Oryzias latipes: one gene and its partners. The protein of the gene in region 2 interacts with the protein of the main gene of each other region in a pairwise test. Links are inferred from orthologs where the notes say so. Each region holds a gene or a part of one and is shown on either strand. Other genes may lie near its edges.

Region 1 (10,637 bases), on a different chromosome or scaffold from region 2:
TGGATGAGAACAACATGCAGCCTACAATTATCTATTGTTTCGGTTTCTGGAATAAGCTCAAGGTTTCATGTTCGTGTGAAATCAGGATTTGGCAAATAACGGACAATGGTCCAACCTGAAACCAGCTTCGTCCAACTACCCCGGGCTGGGTAAAACGAAACTTATAGATGAGCGGAAGTCGCTCGTTAAAGCGCACGAGGTCGTGAATTTCTGTTCTGCGTGAAAGTTGCACCGCCGCTCGCTAGATGCTGCTGTCCGCTTTCAGCCCATGAAAACACAAACAGAAGCGAAGAAATACGAGCTCCCCGAGCCCCATGAATGCAGCCATTGTGACGTGTTTTTGTTTTATTGTGCACTATAATTGGACAAACACCTCCAAATCAGAGACTCGTTGTTTAATTGACACAGACGGCGGTTATCGCCGTCTCTCTGCTCTTCTGGAGCCTCATCCTCTGCTTTGTTCGCAGCCAAGCGGGGCCTGCCGTTCATGCGGCAGCTGCTAAGTAAGCCGTTGTTTTTCCCCCTTCAAATATTCATGTCTGGGTTAAAACTGTGTTACATCCATAGAACGAGTTGTGTCACAGTGAAAGCGCGCGGACGCAACATAGACAGGAAGTACCGCAGAAGAAAAGATGCATAAATCAGGTTTGCATGAGAGGACCATTGATGGTATGGGGGTACTGGACTTTGGCAAAATATGCAGAAAAGAAAATGATCAGGAAACATCCTATATTTGCCCTACAGAATAATGCATAATCAAAAATGATTTAAAAGAAAAGACTAAAGTTTTAAAATGTATTACTTCAAATTACCAGACCTCTATTTAAATTATGTTTTGCTTCATTGTTTTGTTGTCGGGTGTAAAACAGTTTTATTCTTCGATTTGCTCTGACATGTTTGTATGTTACACTAGGTACATGTCCTTAATAACTTGCAGACAAATAATAATAATAAAAAAGAACTGGATTGAGTGACTCCACCCTCTTTACATTCCAAACAGGAAGTACCCACAGTCTCCAAGAAGCCAAAATCCCATAGACTTTTATTGAGAAATAAACAGCTATTATTCAGTCACCTGTATTTAACATCTACTTGCTAATCCTATTATTTCCCCTTGACATTGTTTTTATCGCTAGTGTTCAGGTTAAAAACGGACCAATCAGATGCCTCAATTAAAGTATGTGGTCTCACATTGAACATTCGAAATGTTGGACAGATTCTCCCAAATCCACTTTCAGTGGACTTACTCATAGCTGGTGAGAGTGGTTGCCATAGAAACGTTGACTCGGACCAATCACTGTTAACTGGCGTCTGCTTCCAACGTGCCGACGTTCGTGCCGCGAATAAAATGACGACTGAATTGACTTAATTTGGTTGGAGGCAGAAGTAAGTCATTGTCTTTGGGTGATGTCACACTCGCTCTGTCCAGTTCTCTCATCCAGTAAATGGAGAGGACGCAGAAATGCTCTGCATCTTTGAACCATCATGATGTGTTTGTCTCCGCTCTCAGATCCTCTGTGTAAGACGCTGTAGATGGCAGGATGCTGGAGAAAACCAGTGAGAAGGCGCAGCATTCTGGGCTCTGCTCAGACTGTGGTTGCAGTTTCATCCCACTTCAGCCGGGCCCCGTTCCAGATTCCACCGCCTCCGATTCCTCCCAGCACCCGTCAAGTAAAACAGACGGTCCCTCCAAATGCCCGTCCTGCCAGGCGGGCGGCGGTGGGAGCAGCAGCAGCAGCCCCCCCAATGGACAGCGACCCCACAGGCGCATCCGCCTGGATCCGCACAGCTGCAGCCTGTGCTCCAAAACGTTCGTCTCATCGGCCCATTTGGCTCTTCACCTGGCCTCCCACAGCAAAGAGAGGAAGTTTCAATGTGGCATCTGCAACAAGTATTTCCATCAGTCCTCCCACCTGGTGGCCCACAAGAAAATCCATAGTGGAGACCGGCCGTTCAAGTGCCCCGACTGTGGGAAGACTTTTGGCCGGGCTTCACACCTAAAGACGCACCGCCGGCTCCACACTGGCGAGAAACCCTTTAAATGCACCTTCTGTGGCAAGTCCTTCACCCAGAAGGCCGGGCTTCTGGCGCATGTCCGCCTGCACACTGAGGAGAAGGTATACAAGTGCAAGAAGTGCGGCCTGGCGTTTCACTCCTTGTCGCTGCTGCTCTCTCACAAAGCCGAGGAGGCCTCCGGGGAGGCCAAAGCCGCCCCTGCCCCTCTGCTCAGCCAGCCCCAGGAGGCGCAAAGCAGCGCCGAGGATCTGAAGTGTGGGGTCTGCTGTCGCACATTTGTGCGCTCCTCCTACATCCGGCTGCGCGTGCGCCTGAAAAAAGGACAGCGGCCCTACCACTGCAAGGTTTGCAACAAGACTTTTGTCAAGCTGGATACATTTGTGAACCACTGCGATAAACACCTGAGGCAGAAAAAGGAGAAAAACAAGGACGTGAAAGGGAAAGTTGTCAAACCCCCCCTCTTCGTCCCCATCTCCCGGCAACTTTCTCCTGAGGGCTTCTCTTCTCAGGGTTCCCCCTCCGAGGTCAGCACACGCTCCAAAAGCAAAACCAAGATTAAGATCGAGACTTAAGGATACAAAACAAAGACAGATGTGCAGCAACTCCACAGTCGTCACTTTCTTTCAACATTTTTGAATATTTGACTTTGTTGAGACAAAGAAGACACAACTTAAAACCAAGTGTATTTTTTATTGTTCCGCTATTTCATGACACTAAATTAGAGATGTTACAAGCACGGTCAACGTTTTGAAACACCCAGGAAAAGATTTGAGTGAACAGAAAATGATAAATTCACTGAAAAAACATTTAGGGATAAGCTTAATCAGTTTTTCAATAATCAGAAACTTCCTGGTTGACTCAAGTTGTAAACATGGGATGACAAAACCGAGATAGAAGTCACAAAAAACTCAGATTGGAAAGTTAAGGTGAGGTCTTCTTAAATCACACAACATGACACTGTAAATATTGATAGTGCATCAGTAGATGAGTAAAAGAAAACCATAAAAGTGTACTGTAGTTTTTTTCACCTCAAGTCTTGTCATAATAAAATGAAACTTCAGTCTGAGTTGGTGCATTTTGTTCCTACTGTTATTGTTTGTCGCCTATGAACTGCAGATGTCCCGCCAGGGGCTCTTCTGTGCAGCAGCATGGAGTTGAAGACCGTTTCTTGGTGGTCACGTTCAGTCTGTCACCTCCACATTGGGAAGCTTTTTTTCCCACCCTACGGACAGGAAAAAAAACCAAAGAAGTGAATAAGCTCGTGTAAAATGTGCCACTGCAGGTTTGTGGGTGAGTGCACTGTGGGACGTTTGCCTGGAAACTGTCTGCCTCCTCAGTTTGGCCGCGGATGTTCCATTGTAGAGTAACGGTCATGTGCCGTCTCCAGATGGGGTTCCTGTGCAGGCCGATGGTTCCGGTGATGGAGTCTCCAGAAAACACACTGACCGGCTCGTCCAGCATAAAAAGAGTCTGCTTCCAGTGGGTCGGCCTGCCGTGAAACAGCAAATTAGGTGTTATTTGCCGTATGTTGGCTTTCAGAATATAAATACAATTGTTGTTTATTTGTTTTACTCTGAGTTTGGCCCAGTATTTAGCTCTATTGTTGTGCCTCCGGTCTCCAGGCTCTCAAAATGAACAGAGAACCAGGCTGTGAATCCATGGAAGAGCCCAGACGTTTCCACGGAAAACTGAAACTCCCCCCTCATTTCCTGATAAATGAAACTTCAGTAGGGTCAAAAAAATAAAAAACCTGCAAAGTTACATCACAGGCTTTTATGTAGTAATAAACCTTTATTACCTCAAGGTCTCTCACTTGCAGGGCATACATGTCCATGCTGATCACGTCACACGGAGCAGCAAGACAGTCGTTAAGCTCGATGACGTGGCTGAATTTAGGCTTATTGAAGAACTCTTGCTGTGCCAAAGACCTGCAGAGAGGAAAAGAGCTTCAGAGCCAAGGAAAAGAGGAAACACAAGTGAACTGCTGCCACGGTTGACATAACTTCTACTTCCTTCCGTTGATGGGTCATTTTGTGGTCGATAAGAACACATGATCACAACTTTTTAAGCAAACCCCTACTCTCAGTTCTTGTGCTTGCTATAATTGTCCAACAATTCCTCAAGGAAAAGTGATCATAAAACGACAATCAAATATAAAGTGTGAAATGTTGTAAACTTGTCTCTGTCAGCTGCATTTAAAATATGAAGTTTTATCTTTTTAAAAGTTCCAGAATGAGGTTGTGAGAAATTCAGACTTCAAGCAAACTACAAGATTATTAACAGTATTTGCGGTTTTCAAGTGCCACAACACAAACAGGTGACAGTCACACATGAGGAATATTACAGAAATGAGTCCAGCTACAGAGCAGGATTTTGATCCCCAATACATTTTTTAAAAACTTAATTTTTGTTGGTATTGCGAGGCTTTGTTGCTTTTTAAAATAGTAGTCTGCCATGTTTACACGTTCAAACCTTTAGTTCCAAAAATACAGAAGCGTGACTCCCCAAAACTGTTTTCATTCTGACATTTTGCTCTTAACCTAAAATAAAAGGGCAAAAAAGGTTCATTTAGATTAATCCTTGCTGTTTGTGTCTGACTATGAGGATATTCCTGTTGTGTGTTTAATTCGTGGAAATAAGATGTGCATCTCTTCATAATTAAGTTATAGCTTAAAGAAACAGTCGATCATCTTTTGATCTGTTGTAAAAGACAGCGGGCTTTAAATCATCAGTACCGTATGCTGTTTTTAGCCAAAAATGAAAAAAAACAAAAACATTTGAAATTAGTCTCTGAGTTTTGAGCGGGACTGCTGGTAGGGAGAGACCCTACCCCCCTTCCCATCACTCATATCTGAGCTCATTATTAACATGCTCTCCCGCTGGCTTACAGCCCCTCACAACCCCGACCTAACATTACAGACGCAACAAAAATGGCGACCAACATTGGAGCTATCCAGCTGTACGGTTTTGAGCCAAATGCCAGCTCAGATGAGGAAAACAAAGACGTTCATGGATCTATTTGTCTAGTGGAGGCATCAGAATGGAGTTTGTGAATTGCAAACTGTATTTTCTACTTAACAAATTAGTTCTTTTTGAGACAGCATTTTTTTTATTGCCTCCTGATTCGCAACAGTTTGAATAATAAAATACTCAAAAACTGCAGTTTTGAGCTTAATTTTCTTTAAATGTGCCCTGCATGATCAGTTTGACGCCACAATAACATGTTAAAAACACTATTTTCATTGGAGTGGGTCTTTAACTATGACACCGTGTAGTTTGGAGTCAACAGCAGACACAAAACTCTTACTGAAGAGGTGTGAAGTCCAGGCCATAGGGCCGCTCCCAGAAGGACATTTTCTCTGCGTAGTAGCTTCTGGCCTGACATGGAACTAGAGTGAGGGCTGCCGAGGAGGGCCACATTACACCTCCATCTTTGAGCCAGCGGTCCCTGGCAACCAGAACCGACTCCACCATGAACTCAAACTAGAGCCAAGAAAAGGAACAAATCCAGACAGTTGCTGTGTACACCAAGCATCATCAAGCTTGGATGACGAAACACACGACGGGCATCGTCACAGAAATCTAAAAAACTGTTCGCTGACAGCACTAAAGGTGTTCATTTTACCAGGAGGCAGTTCCCCATCCACTCAGACACCAGGACGTCCACCTGCTCGGGCAGCTCCAGCTCCTCGGCTCGTCCCTTCATCACCGTCACCACGTCCTCACAGCCGTTGTGCTTCACCAGCTGTCCGGTGTAGTCTGCCATGGAGCTCGCCTCCACAGCATACACCTAGAAAACACACAACAGCTTCCAACATGATCAAACTGTCCATGCAAGTTCTTCACCAGCAGATGGGAGTATTACCACAATTATCTCAGGAACTGTTCTTTTTTTTAGGATTTTATGACTTATTTTAGTGTTTAGTCTTTTAGGACAGAAGTTTAAGAACAATTTTAGAATAGCATGATATTAGTAGTGTTCTCATTTTAGGATAAAGTTGTCCTTCTTTAAATGAATTTAGTAAAAAAATTAACAACAAAACAGATGTTGGTCTAATATATTGTATGTTGTATGAATTACATAAAATCTGAACCAACTAACAGTACATTTTCTACAATATTTAGAACCTAACAAAGTCTCCTCCCTCCCATGTAGATAGAAATAATAGTTCACTTTGATTGGTAATATTCCACCAGTACTTGTTTGCTTCTCTGTAAATGAAGCAGAGTGTGCATTATATTCATGCAAAAAAAGTGTTTGCCGTATATTACATAAGGTATATTTAGAGTGCAGTGTGGTGGAATACATATGTATCTGACTGTATGTGACATCCTATTAACATTACCGCTGAGGGTTTCGCCAGCTGAGCACAGAACATGCTGATGATGCCCGTCCCACAGCCGAGGTCCATCACCACCTTGTTCCTCAGGGAGGCGCTGTTACTGACAATGACCTGTCTGTACGTTTCAGTGCGGCTCCGGTCGGACAGCATCTCCAGGTGAAGCTTCTGAAACATATTAAATAAGTGAATAATAGAGAGATGTTCATGTCCAATCCTGGTTCTAAAGAGTCCCCGCCCTGCTTGCTTTTTCAACCACACCTGTCCTGCTTGCTGTTGATCAGCTGGGCCTTCACTATTCCTTCGAGGAAAAGATGGAGAGAAAGGTTCAGTGTTTTCACAAAGTGGGCTAGCATAGGTGGACACAGCAACTTTATATGGCAGCAGTAAGTCAGACTCGAGTTAATAGCTCAAGCCTGCTGCAAAGAACTGCATCTATTTAAATGGGACCATTTTTTTTATAATAATGTTAGGGATGCAAACAAGCTGTGTTTAAAAATCCACCAGATCAGCTGCATTTCCTGCTTGATAGATAGACAGGGTGGGTCTCAGCTGTGGTTTGTTTGGGAAGGCAATTTGTTGACCATTTTTGTAAGATTTATTTTTCTCTCTGAGCAAAGGCAGCATAATTGTACAAAACATTATTTGGTCTGATTGCAGTCTTTGTAAAGGTTTAGATTGCCTATGGATTTTATTTGTGGCATGAGCTGTTTTTATTGAACTACGGTATTTATTAAATATGTTTTATTAAGTTTAGCTTTTAACATCCATCACTTTTTTCAATTTTAATTATGTTAAAACACTTTAAAAATTTAGATAAAGCTGATGATTTGCTGTTTTGATTGACTTTGCCGTTTGATATCGTCAGACATTGCAAGATACCCAAAGTAGGGGATCGGTTTAGTTGGATATGTTAATGTATGAATACTAAATGTATTGAATTTGTGTAAACAAATAAATAATTCATAAAGTGAGTGTAAAACCTAAATAATATAAAGATATAAGATGAGAGGAGCAGGAAGATAAATAACTTAGATTACTTTCCCCTGATGTATTTCTTTGTCTAACCCAGAGGTCTGCAACCTTTGACACTTAAAGAGCCATTCAGGTCAATTTTTTACTGACGACAACCCAAAGTGTTATTTCAATCTTTACAAGAGTAAGAACCACATTTGCATTTATGTTATCATCACTATTATGATTTTTAAAAATAAACTCCTGTTTTTTGGAATAAATGAAATAAAATGAAAAAATAGCCTTTTTTTGAAAATAAGAAACAATTTCTAACTTTTGACAAAGTTTCGTATGACTCCCTTTCAAAGTAAGATACCCCATGTGTCACAAAAGATCATCTCAATGCAGCAAATGTAGCAGTAGGAAGTGTTATGTAAGCGGTGATTTGAAAAAAAAAGATTATTTTACTGTTAGTGGGGCATCACAGTCAAAAATTTGTAGACCTAATTAACAAATATTAAATCAGAGCTAATTAAGTAACCCTTTAAAAATCATAATTAATCCTGGTGCACCTTAATTCTGATTGTGATTACTTACCTCAAATTCATTTTCAATAGAACACACATTTCTGTCATAATGTTTTAGTTTGACTTGTGAGACTGTCAACTATTTTTTTAAACTTTTCTACTTACTTTTTGAAAAATAAAAACTTGTAATTTTTCTTTAACCAGAGAGCCACAATGGAGGGGTAAAAGAGCCACAATGGAGGGGTAAAAGAGCCACAATGGAGGGGTAAAAGAGCCACATGTGGCTCCGGAGCCCCAGGTTGCAGACCCCTAGTCTTAAGATACTTAGCAAGCTTTGATGATGAATTTCAAAGAAAAACACAAAAACTTAATTGAGATTTTTGTTTTAACACTTAAATATAAACTTTCAAGTTCATGCCTTTAACCATTTTTTTCCATTAAAAGACACTATATTTTTATATAATGCTTTCTTTAGTTAAGTTTCACTAGCAAAGAGACATTTGTTACAAAAATAATTTAACCTCTTCTGATTTCCATCAGCTGAAGTAAAAACTGTTTTATCCTAAATTAGCTGGGATGTTTGTCTAATTTGATTATTTTTAATTAATGCTGTACTCTTTGTTATAAATAATATTAAAGCCTTTTTGAGGGAAAGTCTATTAGAGTAAACAAAAAGTAACTATTATGTTTACAAAACACGTTCACATATCTAACCAGTGTCCCGTAGCTTCCATAGTATTCTTCATCCTGCCACGGGTCCTCTATAGAAGCATCCTCTTCCTCATCGGCGGTGTCCTCGCGCAGGTATCTGGCCGGAGCATAACCCGTGACCCCCTGCAGCTCCGCCCACCACCAGTCTGCAGAAGACTTGGAGAGGACAAGCAGCCTGTCTCCTGTGTAGAAACTCAGCTGCGGGGCGAGAGAGGGGAGGTTATTCAGGGCTGCGGGTGCTCAGATGCGAGGCTGACGCCTGCGGGTTCTCTAACCTGCTCAGAGCCGCTTCCTGTAAAGTCACACAGCGCGACCCACTCTTCAGGAGACGCATCCTCCTCTTTCTTTGTGTCCATATCCACAAAGTTCTTTCGATCCATCAGCGTAGCAGCCTATTTTAATCAAACTACATTGAATACAAATCGGTGTTAAAATGTTAAATAAATAAAAAAGTAGTAAAAAAGAAAAAAAAGAAAAGATGTGCAACTCGGGGTAGCGCTGGTACTGGCTACACTTCCTGGTATGACGTCACTATGCGACTTCCTGGTTCCCGGAAATGTCTACATTTGTAAGCTAAAGAAAATTAAACACATTTTCTCCAAATTGGGAGCCATAAACTTTCTTTTATTTTGTTACTATAATGTGGTAAAGATCCCAATAAAGCTTTCCTGCTTCCATAAACAAATCTTACCTTCCTGGTCACTCATTTACAAACACATTTTTTCTCCACACAGATATGGAACAGCAAAGACATCAGATAGACATAAATCCTTATTTTATCCATCTTGGTTTACTCAAAACATCCTTCTGGTTCATCAACTGTTTAAATCAAACGGATCTTTAATGTCACATGAAAAACTCTGCCTCAAATATTGCATCAAATTACCTAAAACGGAGTTTAACATTGTTTTGAAAGCAATTCCTAAGTGTATAACTACGTTATTCAAAAGCTCATCATTGTGGAGTCCAACTCTGTTACCAATTGGCCTAACTAAATTAGAAATAGGCCAAATTTGTTTTTCTTCTTCATGTAACACAAATCGCTGCATACACTCACTCTTTCAGAAGGATGTTGTATCCATTCCCAAATACTTTTTAACCAATAAAGTGAAAGAAATCTCATTTAAATTAGTCCATAAATTTTACCCATCCAAACTATATCTGCAAAGGTTCAAAGAAGATATTGATGTAACCTGTTCTTTTGGTCAAGAACACCCTGAAGATGCTGTACATTTATTTTGGTCATGTCCCTTTTCCACTACTCTATGATCTAAAGTTTTTAATTTCATTTCCACCCACATTGACCCAGACTTTCACCTGTACTTAGAACATGTTATGTTTGGCCTCACCCACTGTCCATCTCATAAAAAAGAACAATTATACATCATTAAACTTTTATTTTTTTTCTGCAAATGGAACATTTATAAATCCAAAGTTACACATCATACCCCTCATTTTTCTGTCTTTGTCAAACAATACATTGACATACTAAGAAACTCTGACAATAAGAAAGCCATTAAAACATTCCATCTGCGCGTCAGTTTCAATGTTTTTATGTAAAATATAATAATAATCCCCTGGTTTGTTTCTTTTCTTGTTGCTGTTTTGCATTGTTGTGTATTGAATTGTTACATTCAATAAAGTTTGTAAAAAAAATAAAATTAAAGAAAATTAAACAAAAAAGAAACAGATTTTAAAAGTTTTGTTGCATGATAAATGCGTTCAAGTTTTTTTGTTATTTTAATTAAATATAAAAGTGACACAATTTTTTTTCATCATGCTATTAATCGAGAAAAGAATCAGAACAACAAAGGTGAGAAATTCAATGTCAGTCGTACTCGAGTCACAATTTTTTTGTTTTTACCTTCAACATTTAGAATTATGATATAAAACAAAAATCAAACTGTCTTTTTGTATTTCATTTGTATTCTTGCAGAAACACTAAATGCCTTAAATCAAGCTCCATAAATGTGACATTAGAACTATGTGTAGTTTTACCCATTATGAGATTTGAATTTACTGTTGTCATTATTTTTTACTGTATATTTTTAGTGCTGTTTATTTTCTATCTGCTCTTTTAAATAGATCT
Region 2 (10,693 bases):
GGGTGGGGGTATGAGTGGAGGTGCAGTGCTGACATTTGGGGGTGGAGGAAGAAAAGGGGGTGGTGGTATGTTCGGAGGAATTGGTCCAGGTGGGAAGAAGGTGGGAATCTTGGCAGCGGCGGGTTCAGTGTCTGACGTCGAGTGTTCAGAGATCACCTGTGGAGCAGCAGAGCAAACAGGAGGTCCTTAGTGAGCAAATGAAACGCTTACAGAAGACTTTTCATTTATTTTATTTAAATGTTTTTCAAGCGTTCATTTTCTGCACCTGAATATTGTTTCCATCTAAATTGTGTCTGCGCCGCCCTTCTACCCTGCTGATGGTGGCAGTCTGTCCACCAATCACATCTATGGTCCCACTTGATTTCCTAGAAATCAAAAATATCAAGAAATATCAAAGAAGCACCACCTAAATACAACCTGGAACAGCTAAAATGTTAAAACATAATACAACACCAACTAAAAGAGTTTCAATTAAATAAATGTTCCATAAAATTTCATCACTTCTTGCACTAAACTTGTTACACGGGAGATGTCCCCGGTGACGCCTGCAGAACACACGTTCTTGTACGCACCGTAACTCTTCTACCGTTGACACGATCAACGGGAATCAGCTGATTCTGACTCAGAGAAAAGCGGCTTTTCACATCAGCTTTGCACAGATATGCAGTATATTACTAATGTAAAATGTAACATGAAAGCGGAAAAGCTGCTTTTTTTCTCTCCTTCAGAATCCGATGAAGAGCTACAATAGTCAGAAGAATGTCAACAGCAGAGTTTCAGTTGGACAGATTTCTCTGACTACAATGATTAGAAAAAATATCTGATTCTGTTATTTTCCTCATTATCTTTACTATCCATAAAATCCATTATATTTTGAATCTTAGATCATAACCTTGAGATATTTTAAAAAGAAAGTAAATTTTGTCATTTAAATTCTTAAAACTACTTTGGATTAGGAAAGAACGGTCTTCAGTTTGTGTTACGGTCACAAGAAATCTAAATTCTGGGTACAAGAAGAAGAAAAAGAGGAAGGTGTTACCTGGCGACCTGACCGATGGCAGACTTGTACAGACTGATTGGAGATGGGAAGTCTGTCTTAGACGTGTGAACAGGTAAGCTGGAGATGTCCTTCTCATTGCCAGTCCTGCCCTGCTGCACCTAGACACAAAACACAACCGTCATGATGAAGGTAGCATTACTTTACCAGAACTTTAAGCTACTCTGACATATATTACAGAAGAAGATATTTAGTGTTGTCAGCCAAAACAGATTAAGGTATTGAACAGACAGTGGATTTACACTTTAAGACATTGAAGATTTTTATATTTAGAGTAGAACAGAAAAATCTGAGTCATTGATGCATGAAGATGAATACAGGTAAAAAGATGCATAAAGGAAAATGAAAGCAGATAGCTTTTCCTGTCCCTTTAAAATGTTTAAAAATGTTTTCTTTTGTCTACATTTAACTAGTTTTTGCTTCTTCTTTTTGCCATTGATTAACACACTAAATGCTAAAACAAATTTCCTGTGGAGAGCACACACATTGCATCCACTTTCTTATCTGTTCTGTAAAGGACGTTGTACAGGCAGGGCATCCGGCGCAGCTTTCAGCTAGATTTATTGCTTTATAAGTTTACACACAAACACACATTGTGATCAATCTTATTCGGGCTCTTGACATTGTTAGACAAGATGCTTTATAGTCTGGTGTTGCAAGAAGCCGTTGGTTTTATAGTTTAACAGGTTGCAGGAGGAAAACCCTGACAGGTCTACAGAAAGAGATTTCTACCATCAAGGAAGGATGGATGGATGTTCATTCACCACAAAGCCTTAAATCAACATCTTAGCTACTGTAACCACACAGCACAGACTGAAAACGCAATAAACATGAAACCTTTTGTTCTTCAGGTTAGATCAAAATACGAAACCCTCATGCTTTTAAAAATATCTAATCAAAATAAACCTTTCAGCAGGAAGAACAGTTTCATAAATATGAAAGTCTGGATTAATCAGGGCTTTGAGCTAAAGTAGAGGTGTCAGACTCCAGGCCTCAAGCATCCAGTCGGTTTCTCGAGAAATCCGCCTGACCTGCTGCTGATTACATGTATGGCCGGAGTTTGAAGGGTGTGGGCTAAAGAACAGGAATACAATTCATAGCTGTGTCTCACAGTGATCTTGCTGGTCACAGATCCGACTGTCGAGACGTCCAGACCCATTCGCAGCCTCTTCTGTTTCTCGCAGTATGCCTTCCAGGTGTCCTCGTTGAAGCCGTAGTTGAAGTAGTCGGACAGATCCGCTCCTGCACACAGAAAGACGCTTTCAGTGACTGAAGATGATATTTCTACCTTTTTAAGACCGTTAAGTATAGAGAAAGTCTAAAAAAATAAAAATGAATACCCAAAGATGCTTTAGTCCTTATGTTGTTTTTTTTACAATATTTAAAGACTATCAATGGCTTTTCATCTAAAAAAAAGGCAGAGCTGATGTTTTATAGTGACGAAATTGTTTTTATTGCATCACATTTATCCATCTTTTTTTAATTTGTAAAGACAGTAATAACCCTAAAAAGTATAGCTAAAACCATTTTACTTGACTTTTACAAACCTGGCTTCCTCCAGGGCTTCTCTTCAAAGGACTCCACGTCCACCTCCAGCACCGGGACGCCATTGATGTTTCCTGGTGCATCAAGATCCACCCCTTTCAGCTTTGAAGACACTGAGAATAACCAAAATAAATGCTGCTGAATGCTTACAAAGTAAGAAAGAAGAGGAATATTGTTCAAACACAACTGAAAATAATTGTTGCAACAGCTTGGAGACGCACCCTGTCCATAAGGTCTGGAGCCTGACTTTATGTTGAGGTTAACAGGTGGAGTGCCGTAAGTCCTGCAACAAAAATAGAATACTTATTAATTATCTAATAAAATACAAAAAATAATGCAGGCCAGGTTTTTTTTGGCATGAATACATTTACCACGATTATTCAGTTACTGTAAAATAAATAATCACAAATCCATCGCTAAAATTCAACAGATTATTGCTGGGTTTGCAACCAAAGATCATTTGACTTTTACAACCTGTATAAAAAAAAAACACTCAGGTCCATTAAAACTAATTCAAAAAAGAAAACCACATCAAATTTTATGGAATAAAATTGAATACAGAAATTGTTTCAAAAATTCAAGCCTTCACATTTTTATGCAACATTAACAGCTAAAGTTAGGGTCACTAAATACTTCCAACACGTCAACTCAGAAGACATCTCTATGTCCCCAAACAACAACATAGCCTGACAGGAAACAAGAAACCCAGCAGATGCAGGAAGGAAACCGGAGATTTTTTTATTTTTTTTTACATCTCTGTTCTGCCTGTGTTTTGCTGAAAGTCCAAAATCAAAAGTAACACCTTCTGACACCGGTGTCTTTTCCACAATAAAGCCATCTGAAGCCAAAAAAAAGGTTAGAACTTAAAAGGATAAGAAAAAACGAAAAACAACAAAACATTTCTTCTTGCCATTAATTAAAAACAAGAAAACAGCTTCATACAAAAACATTTACTACGAGAAACTGTAAATATTTCCACTGGACTCAAACCTACGTGTATTGTGGTGCTCCGGTCTTAATGTCACCGATGGTAACGCGGACGTCATCGTCGTCATCATCGCTGTCGCTGTCACTTTCTACATCCTCACCAGCAGTTTCACCAGTGGCCTGAAATGTCGGGAAAAAGAGAAAAAAAAGCCTCCAATTTAGTAAAGATGCAGGAAAAAAAGACAGGTGGAGAGAAACAAATAAAAACAGGCTACCTCAGACGCAACTCCGTTTCCTGTTGCATGTTCAGGAGCAGCATCTTCTGCTTGAGCATCAGCTGGTGCACTGCAGGTTTATTAATAAACTGTTAGACATGCTGTAAAGCTTTCTATAACAACAACAAAAGGTCTTGGTTTTATTTGTCCTAATTTCCACAATGATGGTTTATTTTAAGAGATTTACTAATGATATAATTTTATGTCAGATGTTTAACTGGAAAATGAAATAACCGATCAAAGTTTTAGAGCTAAAAAGTCTTGAGTTTTGATGTAATGTATTTAGAATTTAATCAAACTTAAGGGTTCACCTACCTGACATAAGTTAAAGAAATTCAATTCATACACCCACATTTTACAAGCATTTATCACATAAAAAAAGACCACGCAAAGCTTCTGCTAAACGGCTACATCATGTACATGTAAACATGTAAAACAGTCATTGTTTTGGGAAAATTCCCCTAAATTATCAAAATGGTTCTCTTTTTCTTTTTGTAAATGATATTCAATGGTGTTTGTGTTTTACCCGACATCCGTGTTTAACTTTGCTCCTTCTTCATCCTCCTCTTTGGTCTCGGACTCATCTGAAAAGAAACATTAATTATCACCGGGCGGATAACAACACATGTAAACTAATATGACTTGATATCATTGACTGTGTACGCAAAAGCCCTAGAAAAAACACGCATGGCAGAGTGATAAAGAATGTAAAGCTCATAATAATTATAATAAAAAAATATATATTTATAACTTGCTTTTAAGTCATCTTTCTGCTTAAGGCCAAAGCGCAGATTGCTAACTAGCTACCCAGCTAGCACAGACAGACAGCGCACTTTTTAAACTGCTTTACCTTCCAGTCTAATTTGAAGTTAAACCAACTACAATTACTTTGTTGTTTTTTATGTCGGTCATTTTAGGCGACACTTGCATTTCCTTGTAGTTAATTGATTTACCTCCATACAACCATTCCTCCTCCTCGTCCCCGGCGCTAGCATCGGTGGTGGTCGTTTTGTCCGCCTCCTCCGCAGACATGTTCGCCCAGCTCAGAAAAGCTGAAAGTATAAGCGAGACCCTACGAAAAACCACCAACAAAAGAGTACCACTGAGAATTATTACAAAGTCCTACTTTTCGGAGGACGCTATTTTTTTATTAATATACGCATGAATTGGGTTCTTTCAGATCCATTTAGACGTCTACGAGTCGTGAACCCGGAAGAGACTCCGGAGAATGTCCTGCAGAAGCTCAGCAACGGTGTACAACTGAAGCAGAGCGCCCCCTACTGGAGTGGATGATTTAGCGCCATGTGTCCCAATGGAGAGAAAACCTTTAATGTTGTCGGTTGCCCTAGTTTTTACCCCACACACTTTTCAGAGCTTGAAACTGAAAAAACTCTAGCAATTTTACTTTCAAAATAGTAAATAGTATGCAATTATATAGCACTTGATGAGGGGAAAAGCACTTTCTTGCACTGATGGCAGCTATTTGGGTCATTAATAAGGCCAACAGGACAGAATTGGGATTCAACTTTTTGTTTTTGTACTGACTAAACTTACTTTATTTAAAATCAAAAACTAAGTTATATCTACTACATGCCCATGACTGACATGACCCCACCTTCGCCGCATAGTTAGCAGGATAGGCTCCAGCAACCCTGCAACCCTGAAATGGATTGAGCTGAGTTGGAAGATTGATCATACAAACTACATGTAATAATATTACTATAACTTTGTATCATGGATGGGTGACAAACAAAATAAAAAAATAGTTTAAAAGTGTTGTCTTATGAGAGCAACTTTTACTCATGACATCAATGAGTTCTACCTTGCAAAGTTTGGGGAAACTAAGTGATTCTAGATTCGGGGACAAAAAAACAACTCTTGCATTAAATGCTATTATGAACACAGATGCAAAGTTTTGTTCTTGAACCAAGTTTCTGATTAAATACATGTTTGTTTTAAAAAGTTCTTATTTTATTTATAATTTATAAATAGCCATAATATATTTATTATTTTTCCCCACTTCCTTGCAACTTCAACCACTTTATGGCATCAAGAAGCATTCAAGATTCCCACTGTGTTTGCTAATGTAAAAAGGACTGTTAATGCATTTATGGCCAGTTGAGTAGGGCTTCTTTAGGTTTTCAGCAAATTAATGTAAATGTTTGGATTCTTTCACTCTCCTCTCCCCTTTTTCTGCTATCACTTACTCAATGCAGCGCTCACATCAACAGTCATGCACAACATGGACATATGCACTGATTGGCCTGCAATAAAAAATCACTAGGAGACAATTTGTGGTCCTCACTTTTTCAGTGTGAGGGTAGGGGGGGAGAAAGGTGGTAACATCATAGTTGTAGCTGTATTGATTTTCCTCACTCTATCTGAGCCAGGGCTTGATATCACCAGCATCTGCTGTATCACATCATATGTGAGAATTACGTGTGGCTCTCTAAACACAGTTAAGGGCACACACATGCACCTACACTCCAGAGAGCGTTAGACAGGGATCCTAATGCTCTGTCCGTTAAACTGATAATAGAAATTGCATTTATTTTACTCACTCTCTCCCTCTTCTCCAGTTTCTCTCATTGGTTTCTATTTTTGCTGTTGATTTTCATTACCTTTCATCTTTATTTCTTATATTTATGTTTTCAAATTCCATCTTTTATCCATTTTGCTCATTTGATGTACAGCATCATCACAACCATTGTCTTGTTGCAGTGTGAAAGCAGTTGGTTTGGTTCCTGGCTGTCTTGTGACTTTCTTTCTGTTAGTCACTGTGACACTGTTGTGTTTTCTGTGTGTTAATTATGTGCAGGAGCATTTGCGTAGGTTTCAGCGAGCCCCGGAGTTGTTTGGCAGGAGCATCCTGGTTGACGGGAGTGTAGGAGGGAGTCCATTGATGTGACCTCCTCACGATGTGTAGCAGCTTCATCACAGCCTTGCACACATGAAAACAGCAAACATGTAAAGGCCCTGCAGAAGATCCACAAAAAATGTCCAGGGACAACAGTAAGACTTAAAGACACACTCAGGGTTTGGATGTTTTGAACACCTTATGGCCTTTTTCTGATGGATGAGAACATATATTAAGATAATTAAGCTAAAAAAAATAGCGTTTCTGAGAATTTCTTTATTCAAATTCTTGTAAATCAGGAGCACACAAAAAAAGTAATTTGAAAAGGATTGTATTTGTGAATTACAAAATATGCTGGGAAGGCCACAAGCTCCTTTCTCCGAACTCTCAGCAACGGGAAGGGGAAGGGGGGTGGGGTTGCTCTGTGCCGATAGTCCTGCCAAAACTTAGAGGTTAAAATATGTCCTAGAAAAAACTGATGTTTTTTTTAATTTAAGCTAAAAACAACATAATCACAATTAAAAGACAACTTGGAACAATTTTAAAAATAGATATGGAGGACATGCAAGTGGGCATAGTGCATAATTATTGCCGTTTGTTTGTGACTTTTTAAATATTTCTGAATTTGAGCTTTTAAATGGTTTTAAATCTTACCTTGAGAAAAACATCAACCATTATTTTTACACATTTTACCTCCTTGGGAGCTACATTTATTATTTGCTGTGCTATAGCAAAAGCAACATGTTTAGTTTTTTTTAGTACATTGCTGCTAGTTTTTCTTTTCTTCTTTTTTCATATAATTTTCTTTTTCAATTTGTGCCTGATTTCTCTACAATAAAATTGATTGGAAATCTTTTCTGTATCTAGAAAGCTTGGGATCAGATTTAGAAACTTCTTTAGAAGCTTCTGTTGAGGAGACAGACAGTAAAAACATTTAGCAGATATTACAATGTTTTAATTGTGCTCTAAAACAAATGGCTGTGGTTTTCCTGAAGCCATAGTAATTCCATGGGACCATGGATGTCGTTCAAACGTCAACTGCATTGTTGATGCAAATTAGACTGTCGAAAACCAACAGCTCACAGTATTTTGTCACGCATGCAAAATAACCAGCAGAAAGCTGAGATCAAAATGACCCTGAAGATGACCATTTTCATTTGTAATATAAGTTTTGAAGTTCACATTTGAAATGCCACAACGATCAGGCTTTTCATGTCAGAGTCACTGCAACTATTTTTCTAAAGCTACGTTCCCAACAGGCTCAGCAACACGCGTACAAGCAGCCACTTCCAATAAAAAGTCTATGTGATCATGGGTTTTGGGCTTCCGGGTTAAAAACGCTTGTGTTCACGTGTAGCTATTTATGTTTCTAAAACCGTTTTCAGGCTCCACGTGCAAACGTGTGACTATTGAAAGTTAAACCAGGTTGAACTTTGACAAATTAGGTACTCGGATTTGGTAACATATTGATGGCGTCCCCTTGAATTCCCCGAAGTGCCAAACGTTTCAAAATTGACAGAGGAGAAGAAACTTATAATTGCCGTTTTTGCTCTGTCAGAAAACAAAATGACACCAAGTCTTCCAGATAAATCAGAACAAAGCTGTGAAAGAAAAAGCCTGGAGCAAGATTTGCACCGCTTCGACATTTCGCACCAAGCTCCAACAGGCGGCGGACATGAGCTAGTAAACAGTAACAAAAAAAGACAAAGAAGAAGAAGCCCCTCCCTGTTCATTCAGTGTGAAACTGTAGGCTAAATGAGAGTTCAAGAACCCACGTTTAACACGTTCTTGAACTCTCATCACATGCCCGTTGTGTCTGTAGCTTTAAGGATATCCAAACTACATCATTAAAACGGAGATCCATGAGGATAATTAACTAAGGTGATTATTACAGAAACATGAGAGTTTTAGTCCTGATTGTCTTTGTGATTTTAAACTGATATTGTTTTATCTGTTTAATAAATCCCATTGGTTCTACTTAATTATGACATTTACTGCTATCTAACAAGGATTTGTGCAATCTGTTTACATCAATAAACAATAAAAACGATGTATTTTATTTTGTCCTAGCATAATGTGACCTTTTTCTAAAGCATGCTTTTATGTTTTCAAGCCCCTAATGTCTCTGGATCACATTTTCTCCTCCTCCCTCATTGTTTTGTACTATTCTCCTTCTCCAGCAGACTGTTTGTCTTTATATGCTTTCCCCTTCACCCCGTGTGCCACCCTGTCTGTGTCTGCTGCTGGCTCCACGCCCCAGCCTCCTCCCACCCCACCCGTGTGGATCCCTCCCTCCTTACGGTGGATTAGGGCGGCTTACAGCCTAGTCGATGCTAATCAGGTTTATCCAGACAGAGGGCGATCATTGGGCTATCAGTAATTACACACGCCGATATTAGCTTCCACACATATGTATGCTGGCAGTATTTCAATCCACATCATCTCTGTGGATCAAACATACGGTTATCTCAGCAGTGTGATGCTGCTGCAGCGTATGGAGCCATTTTCTGCACCTTTTGTTTTACAACACAAAGATCCATCTGCTGCAAGACAAAACAAGCCGGTCCCTCACAGCAGGAGATAATTGTTGCTAATGGAATGAAGGCATCTTTGTAATAGGGTGTAATGTAGATTTGAGAACTTGAAATAAAGTGGTTTTCGCTTAATATTTTTTTCTTCCCTTGAACATCAGTGTGAGAAAAAGTGTTGTTTTGAGAACTTTTTTTTTGTTTTATGAAAAAGTACCCTCACTGTCAACACTTAAAACCTTGAGAAGTATTTTTTTGACCCGTTTTATTAGCTTTAGAACAATAGAACAAGCTGTTTGCTATTGCCTCACCAACATCCCAAATCCCCTCTCCAGGGAGTTTGATGCAATGCCATTGTCACCTAAAACTGGTTTCAGTTTCAGGAATATTAAAAGACTACAGGTGTGCATAAAAATATAAGCACAGGTGGAGCAATATGTTGTTGACAGAAACATTTTCATGTCACAGATTTAAACGTTTGACCCAGATTCATGCTGAGTTTGAGACATTTCATTAATATGTCTTCATTGTAGTATGTTATTCACGTTTATAATATAGAGAAAATGTTTTTTTATTGTATTTTAAATGTTCCAAAATATTTGACATTGATCTTATTTTTATGGTTTTCTTATGTTCTTTGTCTGTCACCATGAACTAACCTTGGTTTGGACTTATTGCTTTAGAAATCAGTTAAAATGGATTAAATGATTGAAAAACACAGTTGCACCACTGTGCCATAATAAAAACAGATTTCAATGTATTTGGGGCCTTTGGATCATTTTGTTTAAAGAGTGTTTTCTCCTCCATCACGTAATTTTATGTCTGTGACTCAATAATCACATAAAATTAAAGAAAAAAAAAACAAAACAAAACAACATGGATGGGATTTTTTCTGTTGTGTGAAAGATCCAAATTGCAGTTAGTTAGTACTTTCTTTGTCTAAAGAAGCTCCACATGTTCCACAACATCTACAACTGTTCATTTAGAGGAGTGGGGACATGCAAAGGGAACCTTTTGTCATTTTTAGTATTGCAAATATCTTCATAGTGTTGGTCCAGCTTTTGCTCTGGGTTTGTAAATGATACTATTATCGGATAAATAAAAGTTCTTCTATTTCCTGTCTACAAATCATTAAAGTTCCACTCCGATCATCTTTTAATCTATTTTAAAAGCGCCTCCAGTGGTCTTTTATAATACTTACGCTGTATTTAGCCAAGATTTCTTTTAAAATAGTGTTGTTTTTTAGAACATTAGAAGAAGTTTATCAAAAATTCATCTCTGAGTTGTGGGAAGGATTGTTGATGCAGAGCGCCCCCGCCCCCGTTCCCATCAACCATAACTGAGAGCTCACTGTCCGCATGCTCTTCAACTAGCTTACAACCCCTCACACCCCTAACCTAGCATTACTGGTGCGAAAAATGGCAAGCAATATCGGAGCTATCCAGCTGTACGGTTTTGATCCAACTTCCAGCTCAGACGAAAACATAAAAGTACACGGACCCAG
Region 3 (10,399 bases), on a different chromosome or scaffold from region 2:
CCGAATTTAAAAAACTCATTATGGGAACCCATAATGCACCTCTTCAATTTTTCCCATCATTCTTAGCAACAGATCTCCGGTCACGATGGCGGACAGACCAGGTAATATGTCCTCTGCCTTTAAAATCGAGAGAGTTTCTTTAGTTTGCATTCATTACGAATTTTAGATGGATTATGTGAAAGTTGAGTGCGACTACGAGCTATTCTAAAGACGGAAAGAGAAGCGCATTTGAGTTTTATTGGTGAACGCAGGCCATGCTAACCGTCCGGTTCATTTCAAGGTCTTCGACTCACTGACACCGATAGAACTACCGATTAAGTTATCCGTATCCGGCGCTTATCAATCAATATTTAGACAATCTGGTTGAATAAAACATTTTCAATGTCGTTGTTTCACATGTTTAGTTTGCTAAACAGTTGTATTCTTTTTGGGTTGGCCGCTTAGCCTTAAACCCTTAACTTACAGCTATGTATGTCAATACATGCAGAGCGGTTTCATGAGTGCATGTTGGCGATTTGGTTCCATGATTTTCCTCAGGTGGTGCTCAAACTCTTCCTGGAGCTTAAACGTTCTGTTTCTACATCCTTAGTTCCCGTGGTGGAGAAGCGCCTGATGGATGTGAAACTGGGAGAGCTGGGAAGCTGGCTGGGAGGGCGAGACTTCACCCCTAACGGCATCCTGCAGGCCATCCGCCGAGGTGACTGACTGCAGCCTTATCTCTGTCCAGGGACCCGGAAAAGTTCTGGATACAGACACACTTTACGCTCAAAACCAAGCCTTACGTCTTATTAGTTTCATGGCAAATTTAGCTAATTGTAACGCAGATAGAATCTGACATTTAGGCTCTTTTCTTTTTTCTTTTTTCTGGTCATTGTTTGCCTTTACTTAAACTTGTTTACCTATTGATTGATCATTAGCTTTACAAAACACCAACATGGAAAAATGGCAAATACTAAATCCATTTAATTTACTATTTAAAGATGTAATAATTCACTCAAATGTCATTTAAAAACATTTCTTTATTATTAAAAAGTAATTAGTGATTCCAACTGAACCAAATGGAAGATACAATTGTTTAAAAATAAAAAAAGTTTAAGCTTTCAAATAGGATGGTTGTTTAAATTTGCTAAATAGATGAGGCACATTTAAAGTGGAAACCAATTGATCCAATAAAAAGCTATCCCGAATGGTGTTAATTCTCTCCTTTTCTTTTAAAGATGGGACCATTTTTCTTCAAAGGTTTAGGTGCAAACCTGTATTTTTTTATCCAATAGTCATGACTGTAGAACATAAAAATCTGCTTCCTAATCTGGAGTTTTAACTCCTATCAAATCCTGGTATTTGCATCAGCAGATGAAAAAATGAAAAGTTGCTGTGAAGTGTTAAAAGTAGGGCTGCCAAATTATGACATTAATCGCCATTAATTACAAATTGGCACAATATTCTGAGTGGATGCAGGGTGTGGATTAAAAAGTGATGTACCACAGAAATAACAGACACCTTGAAAAGATGTTGGTCATGTGGCCCAAATGTTCTATAGCACTGCCCCTTCGCAAAAAGCCTGTTGGTGTTTCAATTATTAACATGTTTAAAACGCATTTAAAAAAACATAGGTTGTTGGAACTTATTCCTCAGTTTATTCCAACAGAAAAACAGTAGAAAAGACAAGTGATTTTATAGTTTACTTTAACCTGTTTGGTTTTTGGTCATTTTAAAGACTGGGATGCAGCAGAAGAGAGAGAAAATAATCTGAGGAAGAGACATGAGGGGGAATTGAACAATTTAGACTTTGTTTCTTTGAAACAAACTTTAGCTTCATCATCTGGACAAAAACATGCAGTAACTTTCCCTCTGAACTGATGCTTTATTTCACAGTAGCAATCTCACTTCGCTTTGGATGGTCAGGCTTCTGCATCGTCCATTGTTTTCTGATAATGCATACCTCGTCGAGCATCGTTCCTTATGTAAGGCCCATGTGTCAAACTCAGGCCCGGCCCACCCGGGGTGTAATTATAGTTGGCCTGTGAGATCATAACAAATGTATATCATATACTGTACCACTAATACTACAAATCCCACAATGCTTTGCTTGTATGTTAGCGCGCAGTCGAAACCAGCAAGCGCTCCTCTTTCCTGTGGACTCTTTGAAACGCGGTGTCCCGCGTTGTCATGGTAATGGCTACAGAACACAAAATCTAAATAGTTCCATTTCTTCGTGTCTCATCTCCTTTTTCAGATTCTCTTCTCTCTTCTGCTGCTTTGCAGTCAAAGTGATCAAATTCACTAAACAGGTTCAAGGAAACTAAAATGTCTTTTTTTGCTTTTGTTGTAAACTGTGGATCACCGTAGGCTTTGTCTACATATGGGTTCTGCTATTAGAAGTTTCTGGTCAATATTGTTTGGATTGCTCTCTAAAGTGTTCCTACGGTTTTTTGATGTTAAATTACAGAACTCTAGACCAGATCTTTTTCCCCAATAGCTTTAGATTAGAAAAGAAAAAACTATAAGTGGTCTAAAAGTAAAGGTTGGAAGTTTGTCACGATAAAAAAAACTTCAAACCCACTTTTGTTGTATTTTGATCTTTGAAAAAAAAAATAACCCCTACAACTTTAAATCATCAAATCAGAGACACTTAGCTCTAGACTCTTAATCCTTAAAGCAGTTTTTCCTTTTGCTTTCAGGCCACGACAGATACTACAACAAGTACATCAATGTGAAGAAGGGCGGCATTGGCGGCGTGGCCATGCTGCTGGTCGGATACGTGGCCATCAGCTACTTGTGGGAATACGACCACATAAGTGAGATTCTTACCATCTGAACTACGTTTTTCCTGGTTTGGTTTGCCAGATTTGCTGAACATCTTGTTTTTTGGTAGAACACGATCGCTGGAGGAAGTACCACTGAGTCCCAGCAGCCATCGGGGTGAACCGTCACATCCTGGCACCTCCTGCTTCTATGCTCAGCTCTGTTGTATTAATGTGACCAATTAAAGACAATACCAGTTTCATGTTCCAGTGAGTTTGTTTAGTAATAGATCTGAATATCAGTGGTTCTGACAGGAACGTCTTCCAGTCTGTGTGTGACAATGGCTGAAAAGACAAGTTTCAAGTGTTCAATCACACACACTGATTGTGTTGACATCCCCACTATGGGTCATCACTCAGATTTATTAGGAAATTACAGACAGTAGCACTTCAGTGAAGCACTGACGAGAATCCTACCAGAAAAAAAATCGCAATGGCACCTTTAAAGAGGCTGGGAACTGGAACTATCGTTTTAAAGCGCACATCTTTGAGTCCAGACTTCGAACTGAAACCTTTTCTATCGTCCACATCCTGCAAAAATCAGGTTTCGTCTGTGTGAATTCCCACAGGAGAAAGTTTGAAGTCTGTTCACCGTGAGGACGAGGGCGTCCTTCCATCTCCTGAGGCAGCACACTGCAGCCCAAATTACTGTCCACTCAGGAAGGCAAGGTGGCCTTTGGTACATTTGTTGGCGTAGTGGCCCTTCTCACCGCACTGCAGACAGGATAACAGTTTGTAGTTATTTCAGAATGTTTAACCATTAAAGATCAGAGAAGGAAATACATGATTCATAAAGACAATGTAGCACAAAATGCAAATTTAAACTTGAAAGTTCAGGTTTTATCCCTTGTGCTATCCTAGGCACTTAGACATTGGGAGTTGGGTCATCTAGACCCACTAGACAGTGCTCTGAACCCTTTTTCTTCATTTTATTGTGATCTTCACTGGTGTCCATGGATTACATTAAAATCTTCACCTTTATCCATCTTTGTCATGGTAGGGAGAACACGTTAATGTAAGTGTGGGGTCATCTAAGATAGCACAAGTGTTAAACACTTGATCATCACACTGATCATCTTTTGATCTATAATAAAAGCATTCCCAGTGGTCTTTTCATTATGATTATGCCATTTTTAGACAAAAACAAAACTGTTTTCCGAGACATAATTTCTGCAGTGCAGCAGAAGTTCATTAGAATTTCTCCTCTGAGTTGGGGGTGGGACCACTGCTGCAGAGTGAGCCCACCCCCACTTCCTGTCACCCATCTATTTACACTCTCTCCTGCAAGCTTACAGCCCCTCACACCCCAACATAACATTAGTGCTGCAACAAAAATGGCGAGCAATATTGGAGCTATCCAGCTGTACAGTTTTGAGCCAGATGCCAGCTCAGACAAAAAGATGTTCATGAATCCATTTGTCTGACAGTGGATGCATCAGAATGGAGCTTGTGGCCCGCCCATTGTATTTTCTCAGAAAACTGTTCTCCATCCTGAAAAAAACCTCAGAAATGCAATTTTGTCTTCCATAATCATTTTTTAAAACACCAAAAACATTGTTTTCATCGATGTGGGTCTTTAAACCAGCATGATATGGCCTCAACTATTACTTGATCTTTTACATTCTGGGAGGAGCTGTGAACCTCAAGTTTCATAAATTGTGCATTAGGGCTTTACTTAAAAAAAAATGAATTTTATTTTTAATATGCATTGTCAGTTAATCAAATCCATTACCAATTTTTTTTTGGCAATTTCTATTGTAGCTTAAAAAAAACAAAAAAAAATCAATGTAATTTTTATTCAGAAAGTTGCACCTTTGTTTAGTTTAAATAATCAGTTAAAAGGAAACCGTTTTCATTTATCGAAAAATCTGCTCCAAAATTACTTTAATTTAACATCTGTGACAGCAGATTTTATAGCTGAAAATACATGTTTTTTGGATTTGAAAAAACAATTCCAATGAGCTTTGTTTTCCCTATGGGGGCGTAAGGAAAGGCTTCATTAACCCAGCTCTGTTACTGTGACCCCAAAAGTTACAACACTATTTCGACTTATTTTCCTTGCGCAGTATTGTTATGAAAGCACTTTTTGAGTTAATGCCAAAATGGGTTTTCAAAAAGCTGCCGTCCACCTGCCATTTATGAATTAAATAAAATTTCTGATATATTGGAAATGTTTTTGTATACTAGAGTTTGCATTATAGTTGGTGATGGCACAAATGTCCAGGAGAACATTTCCTGTCATAAACCAGGGTTGCTCACACTTTGCGCGGGGAAAGTAGTGACTATCTGATGACAGAATTTGCGCGCAGTGTATTTAAACACACACGTGCAGTGACGTATGTGTCTGAGGATATTTGATTGGCCGTTCTCCATGTCAATCAAGTGCCGTACTTCTCGTGAGGATTTTGATTTGCTGATGGATTTTTTTAATTCACTTTTTTATTTTTCGGTATTTGTCTTTGCTGGCCTGCTATCTAACCTCATGTCTTTGAAGATCGACCGGTCGATCGCATTCGACGTCATGAGCACCCCTGTCAAACGTTGCTAACAGCTTGTAATGTTAGAAATGACCAGAAGAGGGCACTGGTAGGTGGAGCATCAGGGTACTGATGTGGAGAGAGACTCCAAAGAAGAGTTGGTGATGCACTGGGACTGTATGTCGGAGAGAAACTGAAGAATAAAACCGAACAGATTGAACCCACAGAGAGTCCTGAATTCTATTTTTTGTCTGTAAGATAAACACAGACATTACAGCCCTGATTTATGTTAAACTGCTAATGTTCCTCACTGCAGAACAATGACAGAACAAGAGCAGAGCCTCAGGCGACTCACCTTGTAACAGGTGACCTGGTCGAGAGGTCGGGGTCCTCTGTTGGCATTCATGTTGTTTTGATGAGAAATGATGTTTGTGTTGTTCTGCTGGCGTTGGCCTGGACTTGAGTTGGTCAGCTGGATGAGAGAAAGAGACGAGCGTCCGCTGGAAGCTGCAGTCTGTGGCAGAGAATGAACAGAGAGCTGTAAAAAAAATCCCATTGAAGCCCAGAAATACTTGAAGCACTTGCAGGTACTGAATCTTGGATCCATTTTCGCACCTTTCCCTGGTTTTGTATTTGCTGTGGTAGAGGGGGCTGTTCAGATGTTCCCATAGGCAACTCAAACCGCGGGCTGCAGAGGAACATTTATCATCACATGATGTCGCTCACATTCAGAACTTTACCCAAACCAATTACACCATTATTGAAAGCAGAAATGTTTACTTACTGCATAAATTTACAGGATTTGCCTTCTGGACAGAAGCCCACCAGATAATTCACACAGATCACTCTTCTGGTGTGTCTGTGTCTGCAGTCAGGACCTAGTGGGGAAGGAGAACAAAATGAAGATTACTTATATCAGTGGTTCCCAACTTTTTTCAGGCCCCGGTCTGATTGAACAGTCAATATTTTCACACAGCAGTCTGTATGAGACTGAAAGGGACGACCAACTTTTTTTTATCTTTGCCTTCAGTTTCCCTTTAACTTTTGAGGGTCAAGTTTATCTTCATCGTCTGTAAAATATTTGTATTTCTATGGATATAGTTCACCCTGAAAGGCTTAAGAAAAGCAGGATACAGGCCCGTTAATCCATAACTGTCAAAGTGGAAGCTACAAAAATCGAATTCCAACTTCAGCCTCGTCTGACTTTTAAGGACAGATAAATATGAAAAATAATTGTGTCTAAAAATTGTATTTTCTAAACATACTAATAAACCATTTCAGCAACGTTATTTGCAAACATCCTCGTAACATTACACAGCAGGTTGCTGAATATGATGCCCCATTGTTATGGCGTGTGGGAACAACTGTCACAATGAATCCACATTTGCAGTAAAGACTCCTGGTTTTTGTCTGTTCAAATGCAGATTTCTTGTATTTTGAAGATAAAGGCTCTTCTTCTGTTTCCTCACTTAATATGCTCTATGAACAAAAAAAACTTTCCAGGAACATTTGCGTTTTTGTCAGCACGTCACTGAGCAATTTGTTATGTGTCAAGAATGAGTCAGATGTGGTGGGGAGAATTCAGAAATTTTTCAAAATAAAGCCTCTTTCCGAATCAAATAAAAAATAAAAACGGTAAAAATGTGGGTTACAACGAATCCAGAGCACGAAAACCTGACACTGGGCTGGACCTTACCGTGTTTGCAGAAGCCTCTGTCGTACCAAGGACAGTCTTTGATCTTAGACTCTGGATCGATGTGCAGGAAGGGACATTCCTTGTTGCTGCACTCACCTGAGAGCCAACACACAGTTTGAATCTATCAGACCTGCGTGCTAAGCAATGGAAAGCGTTTTAAACGAGGAAGTCAAGTGAACCCACCAAACTTTGAGTAGAAATAGCATTCAGGCATCTTGGTCATGTCGTATTCGTGCAGAAACTCGCACTGGTCTCCCTTCTTACAGAGCCCTCTGAGCCAGTGCTTACACACCACCGTCTTCTCCCCGCTGATGTGACGGAACGGACACATTCCACCTGAGAGACACAGACACAGCTTTGTGGATTCATACGACACATGCAGGGATCGTTTTCCTCACTTTTATATGAAAGCGTGACCCACCAAAACCTCACACAAATATAGACATACGATTAAAAATAAAGTCTCTGCAGAACTGCCTTCTTTGTAACCCCAGAAATGTAAAACAGGTTTTAGGGTGCACATAAACAGGACAAAATAAAAAGTAAGAAGGCCAGACAATAATGATTACATAAATGATTACATCCAGACCTTTTAGCCGTATTTTGCTCATGTCTGCCTTAGTGTGACACTGAGTACATACAGAAAATCACAATAAAACACAAGAAGTTAATGAAATATAGAGCTGTAAAAGGTAAACTGAACATCACGACAGTGAAAGCCACGAACGGGCAAATGTCCCAACTAAATTCTGTAAAAATCTTAATCAGTGTAAGTCATCTATTAAAAAAAAATGAAATCAGGATTTTACAAACAGCAGTAGTTTGTAACTAAAGCTCTGGCTCATTATTTAAGAAAAAGGAAATAAGGTTATTAAAGAGTTATTTCATAAAGTTTAAAAATTATTTTAAACATTTTTTACAAGTTAGCGTTTGTCAATAGAATGCAAATAAGGTTTTAAAGAATAATTATTTCAAAGCAAACTTTTGCAAAGAAAACAAAAAAGTTTAAATTTACTTAGTTTACCAAACATATCCAGAAAGAAATAATAATAATCACCATTAACCATTTTAAATGAAAGAAAAATATTTAAAAATAGTTGTATCCACCTCTTTAGTTTATCAAAGAACTTTTTTTCAGCGGTTTATTATTTCTGTAATAAAAAAGTTATAGTAAACTGGTTCCCGCCTACAACGTACTAAAATGACAAACGATACCAACAACATGTAAACATTGCAGTTTCCTTCCAAATAAAACGTTTCTGAACATTTAAAACTGTTAAATGCAGATAATAATAGCAGCGCAACAGATGCTTCTGACTGTAGATGCTTTACCTTTCATACACGTTCCCTTCATGAAGAACTCGCACACAGCTGAGCCGGACTCTGCAAAAAGACAACATTATAACTGAACTGACAATTATAACGTGTTGTTTCTATTAAAAATAACAGAAACCAAAGAGGGCGAACCTGAGAAAAACTATGGTTATTCTCAACAAAAAAAGATGCTAGCATTAGCATAAGCTAGCATCCATGCACTTACTGTCCATGCCGGGAAACGGCAAAGGCTGCGCTCCCAGCTGCTGCTCCACAGCGATCTCCAGGTCGAACTTGATGTGATCCACGTTTGCTAGTAGCTCCTGCATGTTTGCCTTGAGTTGGTAGCTTTCAAAGCAAAGACTTGTTCGGTTAACTTAAGCTAAGATAGCTTAATGTCGAAACTGTTAGCCGGCGATTCCCTCATTAGCCAGCTAAAGTGGCTAACGGGGCGAGCCAGGCGAAACAACAAGAGCAGAGGATAACAATGAGATAAGGTAAGGATCACCGAAGTCCTTATATCAACTATTTCCAAACAAACAGGTGAACATGACTTAATATTTTTGTCTCCGAATCGACAGAGGTTCTGTTTGAGGACGCGCGCACATTGACCTCTGACCTGACGAATTCAGACGGATCTAAACGATTGTCGAGCAAGTCGAGTGATGTCACCGTTGAGTTAACCAAACCTGTTCATTTCTGACACTTTGCCTCTGGCAAATGACCAAAAACGAATGAAAATTTCATTTATTTTACTATTTTATTGTTTAGACATATTGGACACGTATGTGCATCTGATCATTTTTCTTAACTTGCACCTCGTGTATGCATTTCCATGTCCAATTATTTATAAAAATAAACAAAAAACAGGTTAAAGTTCAATTCAGAGATTAGCATGTCACACACCAGATCATGAATACAAAATGCTTTTGATGCTTCATCACTGCAAACCCCTCTCCTAAACAAAAAATCACTCATTCAAAGTCTGGTATGATCAACCAAATGATTTGATCCATTGACTGCATAAGAGACTCTAATACAACGTTGTGATCTGCTGGTTTTAGGGTGAAACACGACGCTTCAGAAATGAGTAATTGTTCAGCATTTTATAATCATTGGAAGCATGATGATATGACATGTTTAAGCAAGAATAAGCTTTCTAAGCTTTTATTGTGTTTTTCTACAGTGGAAAAAGAAAAAAAAAACAGTATTCAATACTTTAATACTTCAATACATAGATGCTGAAAAGGCTTTTGACAAAATAGATTGGACATTTTGCAAGTTCGATTATTAGTTCGAATTTGGAAAAACATGTAATTGTTGGTTTAGATGCCTGTACAAGAACTCTAAATCAAAGTAAAAATGATTGGACATTACAGTTTTTTAAATAATAGAAAATAAAATAAAGGGGAGTCAGACCTTACCCTCTACCCTTTTTTGTATCAAACCTCTAAGAGAGATGATACATCAAGAAATTCATACAGGAGTTTATTTATAAATGATCCCTTTATGCCAATGATATTTTGCTATTTGTTAAAAGCCCGTTGCTTCAAGACTTACGTCATGTTGACAGGAATATAGACGTTTCAGGCTATAAAATAAACCAAAAGAAAGCAGAAGTAATGATGTTATCAGGAATATGGCAAAATAACCTAAAACTTTAGATATCAATAAAAATAAGAAGATTTTATTGTATTAGTCTTTAAAAGGACAAAGAAAAAACAGTATTCATTGGCGGTTTCATGAAATCTTTTTATTACAGTGAATGAGTTACACATACTCATGGAATGTTTTTGGACTTAATTTACTAAAAATCGAAATTCCAGTCATGAATTTCCAGTCAGTTTTGATCGTAACATCTAAAAGATGTGAATCCCAAGTAAAACATCAGGACTCTGTAACATTACTAAATCATGACACAATGACATTTGCAGGACTGAGCTTAAATGTGTCTTTAATAAAAACAATTCTATTGAATTATCAAGTGAGGAATGCTTTAAGGTCAGAATACACCCATTGACTGGTGTGTTTAAACAATAAACGTTAGTCCAACTCTCGTCTGGCCTCACAGTTCCGGCAGGCCGGGCATGGGGAACTGACCGGCAAAA

Evidence for each region. The genes of interacting proteins can lie anywhere in the genome.
Region 1: the proteins of pre-mRNA 3'-end-processing factor FIP1 (region 2) and prmt2 interact in a two-hybrid assay, tested with the Homo sapiens proteins (2 studies listed by BioGRID and IntAct). The link is inferred for Oryzias latipes from reciprocal best matches to the Homo sapiens genes FIP1L1 and PRMT2.
Region 3: the proteins of pre-mRNA 3'-end-processing factor FIP1 (region 2) and cpsf4 interact in binary tests that used the Homo sapiens proteins (3 or more experiments, as listed by UniProt). The two-hybrid records come from large-scale screens. The link is inferred for Oryzias latipes from reciprocal best matches to the Homo sapiens genes FIP1L1 and CPSF4.

What each region holds. Positions count from the first base shown.
Region 1 is NC_019879.2:19,641,263-19,651,899, reverse strand, and holds prmt2 (protein arginine N-methyltransferase 2), read right to left. Parts: upstream 9,174-10,637; 5' UTR 8,929-9,173; coding exon 8,824-8,928; intron 8,747-8,823; coding exon 8,552-8,746; intron 6,525-8,551; coding exon 6,363-6,524; intron 5,807-6,362; coding exon 5,642-5,806; intron 5,500-5,641; coding exon 5,324-5,499; intron 3,945-5,323; coding exon 3,815-3,944; intron 3,739-3,814; exon of another isoform or gene 3,726-3,738; coding exon 3,589-3,725; intron 3,506-3,588; coding exon 3,331-3,505; intron 3,239-3,330; coding exon 3,206-3,238; 3' UTR 3,130-3,205; downstream 1-3,129. Other genes in the region: zinc finger protein 436-like, read left to right, coding at 1,542-2,588. UniProt on the Homo sapiens protein: Arginine methyltransferase that methylates the guanidino nitrogens of arginyl residues in proteins such as STAT3, FBL, histone H4. Acts as a coactivator (with NCOA2) of the androgen receptor (AR)-mediated transactivation.
Region 2 is NC_019859.2:11,137,758-11,148,450, forward strand, and holds the start of pre-mRNA 3'-end-processing factor FIP1, read right to left. Parts: upstream 5,040-10,693; 5' UTR 4,837-5,039; coding exon 4,758-4,836; intron 4,389-4,757; coding exon 4,331-4,388; intron 3,875-4,330; coding exon 3,805-3,874; intron 3,710-3,804; coding exon 3,597-3,709; intron 2,886-3,596; coding exon 2,824-2,885; intron 2,716-2,823; coding exon 2,605-2,715; intron 2,300-2,604; coding exon 2,169-2,299; intron 1,159-2,168; coding exon 1,040-1,158; intron 366-1,039; coding exon 266-365; intron 157-265; coding exon 1-156.
Region 3 is NC_019866.2:19,277,200-19,287,598, forward strand, and holds cpsf4 (cleavage and polyadenylation specificity factor subunit 4), read right to left. Parts: upstream 8,936-10,399; 5' UTR 8,621-8,935; coding exon 8,518-8,620; intron 8,361-8,517; coding exon 8,310-8,360; intron 7,314-8,309; coding exon 7,161-7,313; intron 7,074-7,160; coding exon 6,978-7,073; intron 6,160-6,977; coding exon 6,066-6,159; intron 5,970-6,065; coding exon 5,897-5,969; intron 5,796-5,896; coding exon 5,637-5,795; intron 3,519-5,636; coding exon 3,450-3,518; 3' UTR 3,130-3,449; downstream 1-3,129. Other genes in the region: atp5mf (ATP synthase subunit f, mitochondrial), read left to right, coding at 86-101, 590-697, 2,682-2,798, 2,876-2,904; shmt1 (serine hydroxymethyltransferase, cytosolic), read right to left, coding at 10,357-10,399. UniProt on the Homo sapiens protein: Component of the cleavage and polyadenylation specificity factor (CPSF) complex that play a key role in pre-mRNA 3'-end formation, recognizing the AAUAAA signal sequence and interacting with poly(A) polymerase and other factors to bring about cleavage and poly(A) addition.